Arabidopsis thaliana: one gene and its partner. The protein of the gene in region 1 interacts with the protein of each later gene in a pairwise test. Each region holds a gene or a part of one and is shown in the gene's direction. Other genes may lie near its edges.

The links.
Region 2: the proteins of SLK2 (region 1) and LUH interact in a two-hybrid assay, tested with the Arabidopsis thaliana proteins (one study listed by BioGRID).

Annotation. Positions count from the first base shown.
Region 1 is NC_003076.8:24,933,285-24,941,692, reverse strand, and holds SLK2 (SEUSS-like 2), read left to right. Parts: upstream 1-2,453; 5' UTR 2,454-2,773; exon of another isoform or gene 2,774-3,070; 5' UTR 3,071-3,152; coding exon 3,153-4,076; intron 4,077-4,171; coding exon 4,172-4,303; intron 4,304-4,414; coding exon 4,415-4,463; intron 4,464-4,569; coding exon 4,570-4,784; intron 4,785-4,870; coding exon 4,871-4,939; intron 4,940-5,030; coding exon 5,031-5,131; intron 5,132-5,320; coding exon 5,321-5,414; intron 5,415-5,497; coding exon 5,498-5,567; intron 5,568-5,675; coding exon 5,676-6,472; 3' UTR 6,473-6,731; downstream 6,732-8,408. Other genes in the region: BAG2 (BCL-2-associated athanogene 2), read right to left, coding at 1-223, 434-580, 676-932, 1,036-1,216; AT5G62080 (Bifunctional inhibitor/lipid-transfer protein/seed storage 2S albumin superfamily protein), read left to right, coding at 7,293-7,566, 7,882-7,895. UniProt on the Arabidopsis thaliana protein: Probable transcription regulator that functions in the development of the carpel margin meristem similarly to SEUSS (SEU).
Region 2 is NC_003071.7:13,863,681-13,873,560, forward strand, and holds LUH (LEUNIG-like protein), read left to right. Parts: upstream 1-3,091; 5' UTR 3,092-3,246; exon of another isoform or gene 3,247-3,359; 5' UTR 3,360-3,448; intron 3,449-3,531; 5' UTR 3,532-3,554; coding exon 3,555-3,586; intron 3,587-3,660; coding exon 3,661-3,758; intron 3,759-3,845; coding exon 3,846-3,955; intron 3,956-4,036; coding exon 4,037-4,317; intron 4,318-4,412; coding exon 4,413-4,491; intron 4,492-4,594; coding exon 4,595-4,763; intron 4,764-4,951; coding exon 4,952-5,001; intron 5,002-5,086; coding exon 5,087-5,365; intron 5,366-5,836; coding exon 5,837-5,911; intron 5,912-6,030; coding exon 6,031-6,258; intron 6,259-6,436; coding exon 6,437-6,581; intron 6,582-6,662; coding exon 6,663-6,772; intron 6,773-6,913; coding exon 6,914-7,063; intron 7,064-7,145; coding exon 7,146-7,298; intron 7,299-7,374; coding exon 7,375-7,494; intron 7,495-7,695; coding exon 7,696-7,893; intron 7,894-8,020; coding exon 8,021-8,164; 3' UTR 8,165-8,477; and 1 more. Other genes in the region: GRP23 (glycine-rich protein 23), read right to left, coding at 254-859; AT2G32710 (Cyclin-dependent kinase inhibitor family protein), read left to right, coding at 9,816-9,880. UniProt on the Arabidopsis thaliana protein: Transcription repressor subunit of the SEU-SLK1 and SEU-SLK2 transcriptional corepressor of abiotic stress (e.g. salt and osmotic stress) response genes, by means of an epigenetic process involving histone modification (e.g.

The DNA of each region.
Region 1 (8,408 bases):
ACGTTTCCCATCTTGTTGTTATGATCACCGGAGGACTTGATGAGGAGGCCGTCGGTTTCCTTGACGCCTCCTCGTAAAATGTCAGCATTTCCCGTTCCTTGTATTGCGGCTTTGGTTTCGTTTGCGGTTGCCTTGAGTTCTTGATCTTCAACAAGTCGAGAGCCTCAACATACTTGTGTAATCTTTCCTCCTTCCAACAATTTGTAAATCGAATCATTAGATTCTAACTATACATAAAAAATAATAATTGTCAAAGCGACTTCAAAAACTTGAATAACAAGACTTTATGGGTATGATTGGTAATTACTTATAGAATGGTTCCATAATTCTGCAAATTTATGAATAAAAATTAATAGAGTTGTGTCATCTAGAATTCTAAGTAAAATGAAGAATTAGATTAGTAACAGTGAGTAATAAAACATGATTTAAGTACCTGCATCTTCTTCTTCAATTTAACGTCTCCATCACCTGAGATGGCATCGAGCTTGACCAATTGATTCATCAACATCTCCATCAAATTCTCAAGATTCTTCTCTTCAACTTTCCCTCCTTTACCAATCACTGTATCAAACGCCGACAGCTAAAGTCCAAAAACCAAAAAAAACAATTCTGATTCAAGTTACGAGACAAGAGCGTTGTTATCCGGAAAATTTAAAATTATGTTTCTTAAGTTACTTGTCCGGCGAGTCTTTCGACTTGGAAACTAATATCAGAGATTGCTTTAGATGATTTCTCTTTGGTGGCGATTTTCCTCAACTCAAGGAGACGTTTCTCCTGAGAAATGGGATCTTCTATAAGAATAAGTTTCGAACGATCTTTGACACCAGAAAGATCAAGAAACATCTTTGAGTCTCTTTCTTTGTCTTTGTATATAATCTGCATGTCTTGATGATGAACTCCTGTCGCACCAGACAATATCTTCTTTAATTCCCCTGTTGTTAAATTCAACAACAACAACAATCAAATTCCAAAAACAGAGCATACTAATAGTATAAAGGAAATACTGTATAACTCGGAATGTTTTGTGTCGTTTACCGAAAGTAGATTGAGAGTTGATACTGATCTCGTGATGGACCGACCCGTATTTGACCCGAACCCGAATGCCACGTGGCACGCTTGAGCTATGATCCGTCCTTTTCTGTACAACCATTCCTCCAGGTCGGAGCTCCATTTCACCGTCGCCGGAAGTTGTTGTTCCGATACTCATTTTCATCATTTTCTTTATTAAGAGAGATAGAGAGAAAAAAACAGAGGAATGATGAGATGAAGTTGATTTCTGAAAAAGATCAAGAAGAAGAAGAAGAAAAAAGAAACGTCTGAGCAAAGAGAAGTAAATACACTTTGTTTTGTAATAAATTAATGTTTCTGTTTCTGGACAGAACTCGTGGAAGAAGAAGAAAGATAAGAATCATATAAAGCAGATTATTGTTTTATAAAATTTTATACAATGAGAAAAAAAAGTTAAAGAAAAGAGTGACAGCTAATGTGATTGTTGTTATGTCTCATTATCAGTCCATCACAGATACATATATTTAATATAAATGTTGTATCCCCCACATATTTATTTCTATTTCTGATAAATAATGACGATATATTAATGTCGTTGTTACATTTATATTTATTTGTCATCGTTCTTCTGTATTTTATAAGTCGTGTTCTACGTTTCTAAGTACAGGTAAGCTAATGAAATAACTGAAACAGAAACTTGTGTTACACGTCACGCCTTTAACTCCGACAAACTCTGCAACTTAAAAATCTCTCTTTCTTGCAGATCCACATTGTCTAGAATTATCGTCGGTGTTGTGTGTCTTCTTGCCAAGTTTTGAATGATCCATGGACCGTACGGACCACACACGAGCTTTCTTTGATCATTTCTTGAACAAGCTAGTGCTTTAGAGACAGAGACACCGGTTAGGTTTGACCTCAAGACTGTTCGAGAACAGAGCTTTGAACGGTTGGAGAACAGAGTATAATTATTTATGGGCTAATAATGGGCCTAAAAATACTGAAATAGGCCTGTTGGGTCGTAGCTCCATATAGTTGGATGATCTTGTCGAAATATTTTAGGGGTTGAATTGTCAAAGGGAGTAATATTGGGGTCAATAAGTAATCATGCAAAAAAGAGGATATTTGTCGTAAGCCCACTCATTTACAGCTGCAATCATTGGTACAGTTATTACAAAAAAATAAAATAAAAAACATAATTTGGTCAATCAACTTTAAACTACACGCGTCGCACACGATCCATGCTCTCAATCGAACGATCCACAATTGATTTAACTTTATTGATCGCAAGGTCAAGAATATGCCACGCAATCAAAACAGCTAAAGGTTACCAATCGGTCATACGATACTTGTTACGATAAACAAGACACGTGTCAGTATTGACTAGCGGGTAATAAAAAGTACTTGCAAAACCATAAGCAGATGGGTCACCGGCTTGTCCGGTCAGATTTGGTTCTTACGATTTCCTCTAGGTATATTAACAAAGGCGCGTCAAGTTCATTGCCTAGTTCCAGCTCTCTCCAGGATTTTCCTTTTTTTTATGCAAAAACAACAAACACAAAATAAATAAGAAGATTGTTTATTTTAACTTTATATTACAGCTTGAAATTTCCAGGCAAATTTTTTTCCTTCTTCTTCTTCTTCTTCTTGTCTCATTAATTATCTTCCTCTTCTTCTGTTTCAATTCAGCTGGGTTTAGTTTTAATTTCTAGTTGTGATCTCTCAGCTTTTGTTCTATATTGATCGAAGCTCCACTTAACAGTTCTTCGTACGTTGTTTCCGTGTTCTTCGCTTTTTTATTTTGTAATTTAATTTCGGTTGCTTTTTAAATATCTAACTCCGAGATTTTTAAGGGATTGCTATCTATTTTTTTTTTTTTTGGGGATTGGTTAGTTTCTCGGTTAGTTATGTTAAGTAACGAACTTTAAAATTAGGGTTTTGATTTGGTTTTTTTTTTATTTCAGTGGTTAAGTTCAATGTCTGTGTATCTTTAATAACGCACCAGATTCATGTGTTAGGGAATGTTATTGATCTGATTTTAATCGATACATGTATAATGTTGTAGGTATCAGTAGTAAAGGTGGGACATTTGTGTCGCATTGAGGAAGAAACTTTGGATTTCAGACTCACTTGGGACCTACCCTTTAATGGCTTCTTCAACTTCTGGGATTTTCTTTCAAGGAGATGATGAATCTCAAAGCTTCATTAACTCTCACTTGACTTCCTCTTATGGGAATTCATCTAACTCTGCTCCTGGATGTGGTGGACCTACTGGTGGCTATCACAATCTCAGTATGGTTTCTGGTGATATGCATAATCCGGTTATGATGAGTGTTTCAACACCCGGTCCAAGCGCAGGAGCTAGTTCGCTTGTCACAGATGCTAATTCAGGGCTCTCTGGAGGTGGTCCTCATTTGCAGCGTAGTGCTAGTATCAATAATGAGTCATATATGCGTTTACCGGCGTCTCCTATGTCGTTCTCTTCTAATAATATCAGCATATCTGGTTCATCAGTTGTAGATGGGTCGACTGTGGTACAACGGCATGATCCTAGTGTTCAGCTAGGTGGCTCTAGTGCTACATCACTGCCTACATCACAAACTAATCAAATCCCGCTTTCTATGGCTCGGCGTGCTTCTGAATCGTTCTTTCAGGATCCAAACAACTTAACTCAAGCACGGAAAAAACCTAGATTAGATTCAAAGCAGGATGATGCTTTGCAGCAGCAGATTTTACGTCAGTGGCTTCAGAGACAGGATATATTGCAGCAGCAGCAGCAACAACAACAACAAGGCCAAAATCCACAGTTCCAAATCTTGCTTCAGCAACAAAAGCTGAGGCAACAGCAACAATATCTCCAGTCCCTCCCACCATTGCAACGGGTTCAACTGCAGCAGCAGCAACAAGTGCAGCAACAGCAACAGTTGCAGCAGCAGCACCAACAGCAACAGCAACAGTTGCAACAACAAGGAATGCAAATGCAACTAACCGGTGGGCCAAGACCTTATGAAAATAGCGTTTGCGCTCGAAGATTGATGCAGTACCTATATCATCAGCGACAAAGGCCTTCTGTGAGTGTGCATGTAGTCGTCAAATTTTTTGTTTTATGTGTATTCTAGAAAAAAGCTCTTGACAGATACCAGTCGTGTCATTGCTGATTTTGTAGGAGAGCAGTATTGTTTACTGGAGGAAATTTGTGACGGAGTATTTTTCTCCCCGGGCAAAGAAAAGATGGTGTCTTTCTCATTATGATAATGTGGGGCATAGTGCACTTGGTGTTTCTCCTCAGGCAGCCACGGTTTGTTTCCCTGACTCTTTGTTTTTTTTGGTTTCATACTCTTTATGCTGATCTTACGGTGTAGTTACAAATAGGTTACTTATTCTTGCTTTTTGTATTTTCCATTTGCAGGATGAATGGCAGTGTGATCTATGTGGTTCTAAATCGGGAAGAGGATTTGGTAAGTTCCAATTTGCTTATACCCTGATGAAGAAGAGGGAAATTTCAAAAATGTTTATGGTAGCAAAACATCTTCTCTTAGTAACTTTTTCTTATGGATTCTGCAGAAGCAACTTTTGATGTCTTGCCAAGGCTTAACGAAATCAAATTCGCAAGTGGTGTCCTGGACGAGCTTCTTTATCTGGGTGTACCGTCTGAACGCAGATATGGATCTGGAATTATGGTGTTAGAGTATGGAAAAGCAGTTCAGGAGAGTGTGTACGAACATATCCGTGTTGTTCGCGAAGGCCATCTTCGGATTATATTCTCCCAAGAGCTGAAGGTGGTTTAAAGAGCTTTTGATTCCAAATACTTTTAATCATTAATGTGTATTAAAGTAACTTAGCTTATCCTTTTTCCTTTTGCCAGATTCTCTCATGGGAGTTCTGTACTCGTCGACATGAAGAACTACTTCCTCGTCGCCTAGTAGCTCCACAGGTAACATTAATGGTTCTTACAATCTTTGTGACTCTTTTTGAAATCCCTGGTCTTGAGATTTTTTGAATGTCTGCTCCCTATGGTCGTGCAGGTGAACCAATTGCTTCAGGTTGCAGAGAAATGTCAGAGCACAATTGATCAAAGTGGATCAGATGGGATTCATCAACAAGATTTGCAAGCTAATAGCAACATGTGAGTCTTGATGATTCTAGACAATATTTCACTCTCTTTCTTCCATATTTCTCAATCAATTCAATTTCATTGTTTCTTGCATCTTGTACGGTAATTAGGTAAGATTTTTCACTGATGCAAAGAAGATCAAAGCGATTTTAGCTTAATATATACAAATATGATGTACTGATGCCAAGTCTTTTGCTCCAGGGTCATGGCTGCTGGACGTCAACTAGCAAAAAGCTTGGAGTCACATTCACTCAATGACTTAGGCTTCTCAAAACGATATGTTCGGTGTCTGCAGGTATCTCTCTGCCTACTTTCTTGCATTTTCCTGGTGGCGTGTCTCCTTTTTACTGTTTAACTCTTGCCATCTTCTTTAAACAGATTTCTGAGGTTGTCAGCAGCATGAAAGATATGATTGACTTTTGCCGTGACCAAAAAGTGGGTCCAATCGGTAAGTTAATACATAAATCCCAGAGAGTCCCTGAGATTCATCAAAACGCTTTTTTTTTACTTGGCTGTGCTTATAAAAAGCTTTCTTGCTACCTTTTAACATTTGCAGAGGCTTTGAAGAGCTATCCATATCGAATGAAGGCTGGTAAACCTCAGATGCAGGAGATGGAGCAACTAGCGGCTGCCCGAGGGCTTCCACCTGATAGGAACAGTCTCAACAAGCTAATGGCCTTGCGCAATTCCGGGATAAACATACCAATGAACAACATGAGCGGTCAAGGATCTCTTCCCGGCTCTGCACAAGCTGCCGCTTTTGCGCTTACCAACTACCAGAGCATGCTCATGAAACAAAACCATCTGAATTCAGACCTAAACAACACCACAATCCAGCAAGAACCATCAAGAAACCGGAGTGCATCCCCGAGCTATCAAGGAACTAGTCCCTTGTTACCTGGTTTTGTGCATAGCCCATCAATAAGTGGTGTATCTTCCCATCTATCTCCTCAGCGGCAAATGCCAAGCTCCAGTTATAATGGCTCAACCCAGCAATACCACCAACAGCCACCTTCCTGTAGTAGCGGTAACCAAACATTGGAACAACAAATGATTCATCAAATATGGCAACAGATGGCAAACAGCAATGGAGGCTCCGGTCAACAACAACAGTCACTTTCTGGTCAGAACATGATGAATTGCAATACCAACATGGGAAGAAACAGAACAGATTATGTTCCCGCAGCAGCTGAAACACCAAGCACCTCCAACAGATTCAGAGGCATCAAGGGGTTAGACCAAAGCCAAAACCTGGAAGGTATTATCTCTAATACATCGCTCAACTTTGGGAATAACGGGGTTTTTAGCAATGAGGTTGATGAAAGCATGGGAGGATATTCTTGGAAGTCATGAGAGGCATTTTGATAGTTAGCTCCAATGTTGTCTTTGTAAAGAACGAGTTACTAAAGACTAACTTTCTTAGGTATATGAATCTGATGAGGGGGATTCAATGTTAACGTGTCTACTGTGTTGTTGTTCTTTCTTCTTCTTAGATTAAAGCTTCTCTTTTTATGAAGAGGTTTTTCTGGAAAGTGTTACTAATTCTGGAAAAGAAAAAAGACTGTTCTTCAGGAACTCATCGCTATCAATCAATATTTTACCTTTTTTCTTATGACTTTTTTTAAGCCTCGTTTATTTAAAGCTGATACAGTTACAAACATCGGTAACACGTCACAAACAAGCCAGACACATGCTATTTTTTTCTCTGAAATTTTAATAAAATGTATTTGTGACGTGATTTTAAATCATACAAAATTCCACAAATACGGATATGTAATCTTCATCTACTTGCACTAATACAGTAATACTTTTCATCTTCAATATACCAACCATCCTACTATCTACAAGAGATAATTTGTCAACTCCTTTTACCATAGTTAATTTCATATATTACATAATTTTGTATATGAAATATTTTTGCTTTGCACTAAAGAATAAAATAAATAAATAAAAAAACCTTGCACTCAGCGTGGTGGATAGAGAACAGAGTGATTTACTTTCACATGTAAATCTTGTGAACTAACTAGACCATGTGACCATGCCAAACGTCTCCTCAACTCATCTAATTAATCACTCAAAATATACACTCAAAACATTATATAAATGATAAATCTAAACATATGATATCATATACATAGAACTACATCAGATATCTATAGAAACAAACTTATCCATGGCAATAATGGCATCGTTCAAGTCTTTCGCAGCCGTTCTCAGTGTCCTTTTTCTTGCCATGACTGCTATAGAAACGGTAGTTCAAGCCCAAGAATGTGGCAACGATCTAGCAAATGTGCAGGTATGCGCCGCCATGGTGCTGCCCGGTTCAGGCAGACCAAATTCAGAGTGTTGCGCCGCACTTCAATCTACTAATAGAGATTGTCTATGCAACGCTCTCCGTGCAGCCACCTCTCTTCCTTCGCTTTGTAACCTTCCTCCTGTGGATTGTGGTACGGATTTATTTACTTTTAACCAAGAAGTTTGATATTTGGCTCGTTATCCCAAGATGAGGATGAATAAAACAAATCTCAATATATATTTAGTTTTAGTTACCAACATTTTAGACTTGGCCTAATATATGGCCAAACCAAAAAGACTTGGCCTAAGATTCCAAGTAGATTAAGTAGGATAAAACCTCATATATCAGCTCTAGCTAACTCGGCTAATGTAGTAATGTGTTTATTTAATGATATATAGACCTCTATTTCATATCTGTTTCTGAGGTTTTTTTGTTTTTTTGTTTGTTTTGTTTTTGGGTTGTGCAGGTATAAATGCTTAGTTAAGCTACGAGTCAATTCCAAGATGATCAAGGAAAACGGGAAAATAAAGAATAATGAGAAATATTCCAGTCTTATGTTTTTTCTTCTAACTTCTGCTTTACTATAATAAAGTTCTAGTAGTTTTGCTTAGAAATTTAGATACTACTAGTATAATAAAAAGCTTTGATAATTATGAGAATAAAACATTCCCGGTCTGAAACCAAATTATTCTTAAACATGTACGTACGTAAGTCTAGACATCAGAAATAAATTAGATTAGTGACTTGTTTAATATGCATGGAAAATCATGTTAGTTTTCATTGTTGCCAAGCTAACAATGTTTGTTTAAAAGCTAGAAAGTCTAAAAATTGCACCTGACCCCTCTAGTGCTTGTTGCTGAATACGACTTGAGGAGGATAGTATTTATTAGTGGTTATAGACGATCGTTATCACAGCTAGTCTTTATTTTCGAATGTTCCCTATTTGTTTTCCTTTTTCGTAGACTTACTTCTAAACTGCATCCTACTGAACAG
Region 2 (9,880 bases), on another chromosome or scaffold:
GAACATGTATATAAAACATAAACACAACCACTCAATAACTGTTGGCAAAAGTAAAATAACCATTTTATTAACCACACTTGAAACCGACCAAAGCCGAACATATGGAATCAGCATACAATGCGACTCAAAATAAAAATAACGACATACACAATTGCTAATGTATCATTTTATTGCAATAATTAATTTATCATTTTCCATTTAATTAAATAATATAACAACGTTACGAATGCATGAGCATGAGCCTCACCACTCATCAGTGATGGCCACCACCAACATAACCTCCTCCAAGACCTCCTCCACCACCAATGCCTTTACCAAATCCACCACCGGCTCCGCCCCCGAATCCTCCTCCCCCTCCACCGCCAAAGCCTCCTCCTCCTCCAATTCCACCTCCGCCTCCAAGTCCTCCTCCAGCACCACCACCGTATCCTCCTCCAGCTCCACCACCCAATCCACCTCCTCCTCCTAAACCACCACCACCACCACCTCCTAGACCCCCTCCTCCTCCCAAACCGCTACCGCCTCCTAGACCCCCTCCTCCTCCCAAACCGCTACCGCCTCCTAGACCACCACCGCCGCCTAAACCTCCACCACCGCCTAAACCTCCACCGCCTCCTAGGCCACCACCGCCTCCTAGACCACCTCCGCCGCCTAGACCGCCTCCACCGCCCAAACCCTTACCGAAACCTTTCTTGTAAATGCCATGCTTGTGGAGGAATGGACGAGGTTTGTGTAAAAATGGACGAGGTTTGTGGAAAAAGTGTTTGTCGTCGTTAACCTCAACATTTCCGAACGAAAATTCAGCGACTAGAGCGAATACAAAGATAAACACACACACCTTCCCGGAAATTAAACCCATAATTAACTGGTTCGTTTTATATGGTGTATATGAAAGAGAGATCGAAGACAGTAGTTGTGTCAGTGAAGCTTAGTCTTGACCTCTATATATAGACATATCGTCCACTCGTGAGTACGTTACATACATAACCGGTTTTGCTTCTTCTTTTTCTAGGTTTCTTATCAATTCCGGTTTAGTTTAGTTTGTTGATTTGTTCATATATACTCAAATTATTCTATTTCAGAGGTTGAAATGCTTGGTTAAGGCGTAACCGTGAGGAAAAGTGGGAAACCGGAATTGATTAAACCGGACGTATTAACTTGTAAGAAGGCGAAAAAAATAAATTGGTTGAGTAAACTAAATTAAATGAGGTTCACCTGTCATAGGACAATTTATTTATGTCTGCCAACTGCCCAGTTGATCTCATCCAACATAACAATAAAAATGAAATCAATGTACATTTGATGAATTCAATAAATAAATAATATCGATGTATATATATATGCACATGAAATGAAATGTATATCTTATTTCCGATTAAGAAAATGAGCAAACGATTCTAGTGGGCGCCGATGGTGAAAAAACCTGAAATTGATGAAAATATATACTACAATTGGTTCATGTACTTTGTCAAATAATAATAATTGGTTCATGTTCTAAAAACCAGACTGATCATATTCGTAGAATGCAATCATCAGTTCACCATATGTATATGATTCCTCATAAATCAACCTTCCATGGATTTATAGCAAAAAGAACAGTGTGTTTCTCTTTTAGTGTATTTTCATAAAAGACGTACCATAAATGAATAAATTGTGTCGTTATCAAAAAAACAAAAGTTTATAATCGTGGCTGTTTTATTTTTCCTTTTATAGTTGAAGGACATGTCTACTACAAAGCCATTAATAATATGAGGGCTCTTTTGCATTATTCAAGCCCTAAATGTGATCTCATTTAGTGAAAAAAAAGTGATCTCATTTATTATGTCATTAATGGCTCAAACCAAACACATATTAAACCTTTCATTTTCCAAACTAACAAATAAAGAAAAACAGATAGGCTTATACATTATACATGCATCACCCACATAGATTTAGATTATTAAAAATTTGAGGTTGACTGGTTTGAGCTGTGAATGTAATCTTTTATTTAATTTGGACTGTTTGTTGTTAGAATAATGGTTGGGACTTAAATTTTAAAGTCAACTAGTGATTTGAAAAAAAAACGAGGCTTAACAAGAATATTTAACTAGTTAATCTAGGGCTAACTTGTTAGTAAGAAATTTAAGAAATACGTTTAATACTTCATAACACTACAAGTGTGGATTGTTCATTTCACATCATAAAGTACTAAAACTTCAAATTAAGTGCCAAATGAATATCCTATGCATTTTTTTTTTGTAAAAAAATTAGATTGGTTCTATTGAGAATATGCATGCAATCTTTTGGTTACAGACCTCTAGTTAAAGGATTTTAATTAGTTCTTATTTTCTATTTAGAATTTGAATTAGTTTCATAAAACATATGCAGTGATCAGTTTATAAGGTCAAATCTCACCCTCAAAATACAAACATATTTCACGAGTTTGCCCAAAAAGAAAGAACTAGTATTTGACGCAAGTTTTCATTTTGAACCATTCGTAAGCTATAACTAGAAGATTAAATACGGTAGAATAATGAATGTATTATGGGAAAAATGTTAAAAAAATCGCCAACTTTTAAAAATGGGACAAAAAAATCGCCAACTCCTGAAATGTCATTTAAATCATATACTTTTGGTTGACTTTTCCAGAAAGATAATAAAGCAAAGATTCGTAATCAACAAAACTTTGCTCTGTTATCTTTCTAAAGAACTCAATCAAAAGTATGTGATTAAAACGACATTTCAGGAGTTGGTGATTTTTCATCCCATTTTTCAAAGTTGGCAATTTTTTTGACATTTTTTCCAATGTATTATTGAGTGTAGCTACATGAAGTATGAACCATTTATCTTGACATAGCATTGCGTACTTTGAAAATAATTTCTTTACTAATAAAAAAACCTACACTTTTTTTTATAATAAATTTTTTCACTCTGTTTAGAAACCATGAATTGGCTGCTCTAACGATTCAAGAGAAATTTCGGCCTACCTTCGAGTTGACTTTAGATTAAAAGTCAATCACAGGCCCAAAAGTAAGCCCATAACTAGGTCCAAATATCGAAGCCCATGAATAAACTTTTTCATCGAATCCTAAAGCTAAGCATCAAACCAAACATCCGATGATCTCTCCAAACTCATCAATCTGATCTATCTCTCTCTTCCAGCTGTTTCATGATCGATTTACTCTTAACTTACAGCTGATTACAATTCACTGTAATCTCTCAAGAACCCTAGATTCTTTTTTTTCCTTTTCAATTGTGATCCGTCAGGTATGTGAATTCGATTACTTTCTATATCAATTCAACGAATTCCAAAAGTCATGTTCGCGTATAAGCAATTTAACCTTGTCGATTTCTTTATATTTTCTCTGTATGTGTAGCAGCAATGCTTGATCTTTAAATTTACTGATATCTGAAGATCGAATTAGGGTTCTGATCTACTTGATATTTATTTGTTTGGGCTTTTATTCAGGTTAGTGTCTGTTTATTAAAACAATCGAATTATTCTGAGTTCATATCATTTCTTTGGATTGAAGATTTGAATTCCTTTTATAGCAGCTCGATCTTGGGCTGAAGCTATGGCTCAGAGTAATTGGGAAGCTGACAAGATGTAAGTTAATTTTGTATTCAATAAAAGCTTATTTTTTTTCAATTCCTTACTTTGATATCTTTGTGTTTTTGTAGGCTTGATGTTTACATATATGATTATTTGGTGAAGAAGAAACTTCATAATACTGCTAAGTCGTTTATGACTGAAGGGAAGGTTTCTCCTGATCCAGTTGGTAATATTACACTTTCTTTGTTCCACTTTGTTCTTTCTTAATTTTAAGTTTTGATATGTAATTGTTTTTTGTTGTGTGAATGATTAGCAATTGATGCACCTGGAGGGTTTCTTTTTGAGTGGTGGTCTGTGTTTTGGGACATTTTCATTGCAAGGACGAATGAGAAGCATTCAGAGGCTGCTGCAGCTTATATAGAGGTGAATGTCTTCTACTAACATCTGGGAATATGTTTTGTTAGTTTTGAATTACGTAACTGACCAGTGGTTTTGAAATTTTAGGCACAACAAGGTAAAGCGAAGGAGCAGCAAATGCAAATACAGCAACTGCAGATGATGCGCCAAGCTCAAATGCAGCGTAGGGACCCTAATCATCCTTCTCTTGGCGGTCCAATGAATGCTATTGGTTCTGAAGGGATGATTGGGCAGTCTAATGCTAGTGCTTTGGCTGCTAAAATGTACGAGGAACGCATGAAGCAGCCTAATCCTATGAATTCTGAGACATCCCAACCTCATCTTGATGCAAGGATGGCCCTTCTTAAATCAGCAACAAACCATCATGGGTAAATTGGCTCAGCTTCTTTTTTGCTGTCGTTTTTCTAGTCCTCATACCTCTGACCCCTTGTTGTCCTTTCTTTTTTTTTCTGTCCCTAAACAGTCAGATTGTCCAAGGAAACCATCAAGGAGGTGTTTCGGCAGCGCTGCAGCAAATTCAATCACGAACTCAGCAGCCCACTGTAACTACTACTCGAGCACCTTACTTTATACTGTTCAAATTTTCTAACAGACAAGTCTCCAATCAGATATTTTGGTGTACATCTGAATCTCTTGTACGTGCAGGAAATCAAAACTGAAGTTAATTTGGGTACATCTCCAAGACAACTGCCAGTGGATCCTTCTACAGTTTATGGCCAGGGAATTCTGCAATCAAAGCCTGGGATGGGGAGTGCAGGTAAATATATCAATGTATTGCATTGTAGAGTAATCGCTCACCGAAAAGAAAATGGTGGTAAAATACGTGGTAGTATGCCTTCTATGGCAATTAGTTGACTATGGACTCCAAAATTTAAATATTACTTCCCTGTTATGTGCAAAATCATGATGAATTACATAGGGTGATATGCTAATGGCATCACGAGAATCTTTTGCTTACAATTTGTATAAATTCTTATGGTGTTGTGTTTGTCCCTTGTGAAGGATTAAACCCTGGAGTGAGTGGTCTTCCTTTAAAGGGATGGCCATTAACTGTAAGTCTCTGTGGTTCTTCTAAGAATTTATTTGTTTGTCATTCCAAGCCCAGTATTTTGCTAAGTTTCTTGACAAATGTTACAGGGCATCGAGCAGATGCGACCAGGTTTAGGAGGCCCTCAGGTTCAGAAATCTTTTCTACAAAATCAAAGTCAATTTCAGCTCTCGCCGCAGCAGCAACAACATCAGATGTTGGCTCAGGTTCAAGCGCAAGGAAATATGACTAATTCACCCATGTATGGTGGTGACATGGACCCTCGAAGATTTACAGGATTACCTAGAGGAAACCTTAATCCGAAAGATGGCCAACAAAATGCAAATGATGGATCTATAGGGTCCCCCATGCAGTCAAGTTCGTCAAAGGTAAGACTTTCTCAAATTACCAATAAATGCATATCCCTGTTGGATGCAGTGGAATCTGTTGAGCTGCATTATATCATCTTTTTCGGGTAGCAGAGAAAAAATGAAGCATCTCATTTTTTCTGTGTTCCGTTAAGTGGTGTAATTGGATCATTACGTCTGTCCTTCTATGCATTTTTTCTGATAATTGCTCGTCTATGCTTTAAAATTGTACTCTTTTGGGTTATCGTCTGACTGCTATACTTTCCATTTGGAAAATGTGTAAGGTAATGTGTTTGTGTTATCCTAATGTAGATCTACATAGGTATCAGAATTTTGTTTTTTCTTGTTAACCACATGAACCCAATAATAGAGAAAACTTATCCGCAATTAGTAGCTGATTACTACCAAACATGGGGACTTTACTGCTAAAATTTTATCAATCACATTTTTTTCTTCTGATTTTCTCTCTTTCCGTTGCTTGTTGGTCTATAGCATATCAGCATGCCGCCAGTACAGCAATCTTCTTCTCAGCAACAAGATCACTTACTATCCCAGCAATCACAACAGGTACTTTTATGTGGATCCAATCCCTCAAGTCTTATCAAGCATGTGGTTTTAACCAACTGAATATATTCTTTAGTGTCTGAGATGATTGAGCCACAACTTCCTTTTCGTGTATCTGATAGAACAACCGCAAAAGAAAAGGGCCTTCCTCTTCTGGTCCTGCTAACAGCACAGGGACAGGAAACACTGTTGGCCCATCCAACTCACAGCCATCGACTCCGTCAACGCATACCCCTGTTGATGGAGTTGCTATAGCTGGTAACATGCACCATGTGAATAGCATGCCAAAAGGGCCAATGATGTATGGTTCTGATGGGATCGGTGGTCTTGCATCATCAGCAAATCAACTGGTATGTTTCTTAATTTCTCAGAAGAATGATAACGACAATCTAGTTTTCCTCCAATAACATCTGGATACAGCATGCAGTTGTGTTGTGTGAAACAAGTGCTTTCTTAGCAGCTTGAATATTTTTTTTATATCCCATGGGGCCGTGTTTCTTTCAGCTTTCTTATGACAAGAATTAATAGCTGCAGGATGACATGGACCAGTTTGGAGATGTGGGAGCTCTAGAAGATAATGTAGAATCATTTTTGTCCCAAGATGATGGAGACGGAGGAAGCTTGTTTGGCACCCTAAAGCGGAACTCTTCTGTGCATACCGAAACCTCAAAGCGTATTCTAACACCCCAAGGATAAGTATGATACAAGTAGACGATATAAATATATACTAACACGGTCCTTTTTCTCGTTTCAGCTTTCAGTTTCAATGAGGTTAGTTGTATAAGAAAAAGTGCCAGTAAGGTCATTTGCTGTAGCTTCTCATATGATGGGAAGTTGTTGGCTAGCGCTGGACATGATAAGAAGGTGCAACTTCTTAATTTCTGAGATACGGTTTGCTTATAAACTTGTCATGGCCCTAAAACAGCTATAGATCATTTATAGGTAGGTAACATTTTGTTTGTTTAAAAACAGATAATGTGGATGCAAATTTATTTTTGTCAGTAGGTATTTATATGGAACATGGAAACACTACAAGTTGAGAGCACTCCGGAAGAACATGCTCATATCATCACAGATGTTCGCTTCAGACCGAATTCAACTCAACTGGCAACGTCATCATTCGACAAAACAATCAAAATCTGGGATGCTTCTGATGTATACTAATTTAATTTGTTTCTCTTTTATTTGTTGCAATTTTTCGTGTTCTGCTGTGACTAACTACTACCAATTTGTGCAGCCTGGTTACTTCCTACGAACAATTTCTGGTCATGCTGCACCTGTTATGTCCATTGATTTTCATCCTAAGAAAACCGAGCTTTTATGCTCCTGTGATAGCAACAATGATATTCGCTTTTGGGACATAAACGCCTCTTGCGTTCGTGCTGTAAAGGCAAGCCCCTGACCTTTTGTATGGTTTCTCTGGGATGTGAACTCTGTTTGCTAATCGTTGAATTTTCCAAGCACAGGGGGCTAGCACGCAAGTACGTTTCCAGCCAAGAACAGGACAGTTTTTAGCTGCAGCGTCAGAAAATACTGTGTCAATTTTTGATATTGAAAATAATAACAAACGGGTCAACATTTTTAAGGTAGAGCTGAAGATGATATATTGATATTTTTGAATTCCCCGGGTCAATCCACATAAAAGACTAAAAGCTTTGTTTTTTACTTTTAATACTTTGAATCTTCAAAGTCCAGTGCATTTTTCTTGTTAGATGCATTGGGGCATATGTTTAGATGTCGTAAGTGTTGATCGTTACTCATGGCTTTATTTACTTTTGATCTGGCAGGGACATTCCTCAAATGTACATTCTGTTTGTTGGAGCCCAAACGGAGAGTTGGTGGCGTCTGTTAGTGAAGACGCTGTAAAATTATGGTCACTGAGTTCAGGAGATTGCATCCACGAGCTTAGCAACAGTGGAAACAAGTTCCACTCTGTTGTTTTTCACCCTAGCTATCCCGATCTCTTGGTCATCGGTGGCTATCAGGTATAACCTATATCCCCATTTCTCAAACAAATAATGTGTCAAACAATATCTAGTCTTATGTTCAAATGTGTGATGAGGTGAATGTGTCTCTCAGTTGTTTTAACTTTGGTAAACGAATCTGTGACAGGCTATAGAGCTGTGGAACACAATGGAGAACAAATGTATGACGGTAGCAGGCCACGAGTGTGTGATCTCTGCCTTGGCTCAGTCGCCTTCGACGGGAGTGGTTGCGTCTGCAAGTCATGACAAATCCGTAAAGATTTGGAAGTAGAAATATTTCTATGTTCGTCTGAAAAGAAAAGGAAAAAAGAAGAAATAGCAGAGAGCTCAGGACTTTTTTTGGGTCTAATTTTTTTTTTTTTTTTAATGTTACATTAATAAGTTGGTTTTTTTTTTAAATTGGGTTTGTTTATGTCAAAAGCAAAGAGACTTGTGATATTTCCAATCTTTGTCTAATGATCCTACTTCTTTACTTCGTTGTTTTGATCTCTAGTGTTTAGAGTGAAAGAGAGATGTAAGTAATTTCTCTAGACCAACTACATTGTTGAATAATAATTTCTTATAATCAGCCAAACGCTTGTTTTTAAGGTCTCTTTACGAATATCTTATAATGACACTGCATACATTAAGTTGGTTTAAGATGAATACAAAACTCTAAGCATGCACATTGAAAGTACTCGTACGTTAAAACTTAGGATTAAGGATGAGTTTATTATCTGCTTAGGCTTAAATTGTCTTTGTTCTGGGTTACTTATTGAACTTCTAATATAACCGCATCTTTCTTGAATGACTCTGCCTCTCTTTCAAAATTATTTGTTTCAGCATCACTGTAACATTTATTGTAAAAATAGTTTTTTTGGGTTTGAATAAATTTAACTTTCAACTCAAAAAAAAAGAAAAACTCGATATTATATATAGAAAACGGAAATGTGAAACATAAGGAGAAGTAAAAAGCACGGTTACGTTTGTGTTTGTTTACAATTTACAAACACGTCTAACTTGGAAAAACTAAAATAAATGTACTTTTTTTTTTTTGGTCTAAAATAAATGTACTTTTTTCTTAAACATGAACTTATTTTTTGTAACAGTTGAGTGGTTGAATGAATCATTAATTTAAGTTATCTTTAGTTTCTCAATCGATAATATATACCTACTCAAACCTTTATACAATACTATAAGATATAAAATACTCCTACTCCTTCCCAATTCTCAAAACTGCTTAAACTTTCATAATCATCTAACTCTTGTAATTTATATAATCTAGTCATTAGATTCATCAGTATATTCTCAATATTACAAAGGCTAAATATCTTATGCTACATTATCCAAGCAATTCGCAGAAAACAATAAAAATAAAATTGTCAAACATCATAAGCCTAGTAGAGAAGTAGAAGTTGACATTCCAAATTCGTCCAATCTCTACCTCAACTAGATTTAAAACTTTTTATCCTAAGGTAAGTAAAATACACAAAAGTAGAGCAAAATACGATCCTTGAATTAATTCAGGTTGTGTAACCGTTCAATCTTTTCTAACGCTGTGACACATATTTGAACCCAACTAACTCAAATTTTTTTATTTTAAATATAATTTATAAATGTGGAAAAAAATAATAAATTTATAAATAAAAATATATGTCATCATTTCTATTTATAAATATCGAAATTATTACACTCAAGTTCTAAAATATTTTTTTTTTTTAAAAACTAAAGTGAAAAAATAGCAAAGTACATTACTCACAGTAGTGAAGAAGCAGCCACCTGAAAAAAAAAATAACACACACAAAAAAAGAGAGAGAGAGAGAGAGAGAGAGAGAGAGAGAGAGAGACCCCACAAAGAGCACTAATCTTCACAACCCTAACTCCGATTTTTCTCACACCTCCCAATCTCTCTTTCTTTCTCTCTGATGAAAAGCTAACGGAAAATGGGGAAATACATAAGAAAGAGCAAAATCGACGGAGCTGGAGCTGGAGCTGGTGGTGGAGGTGG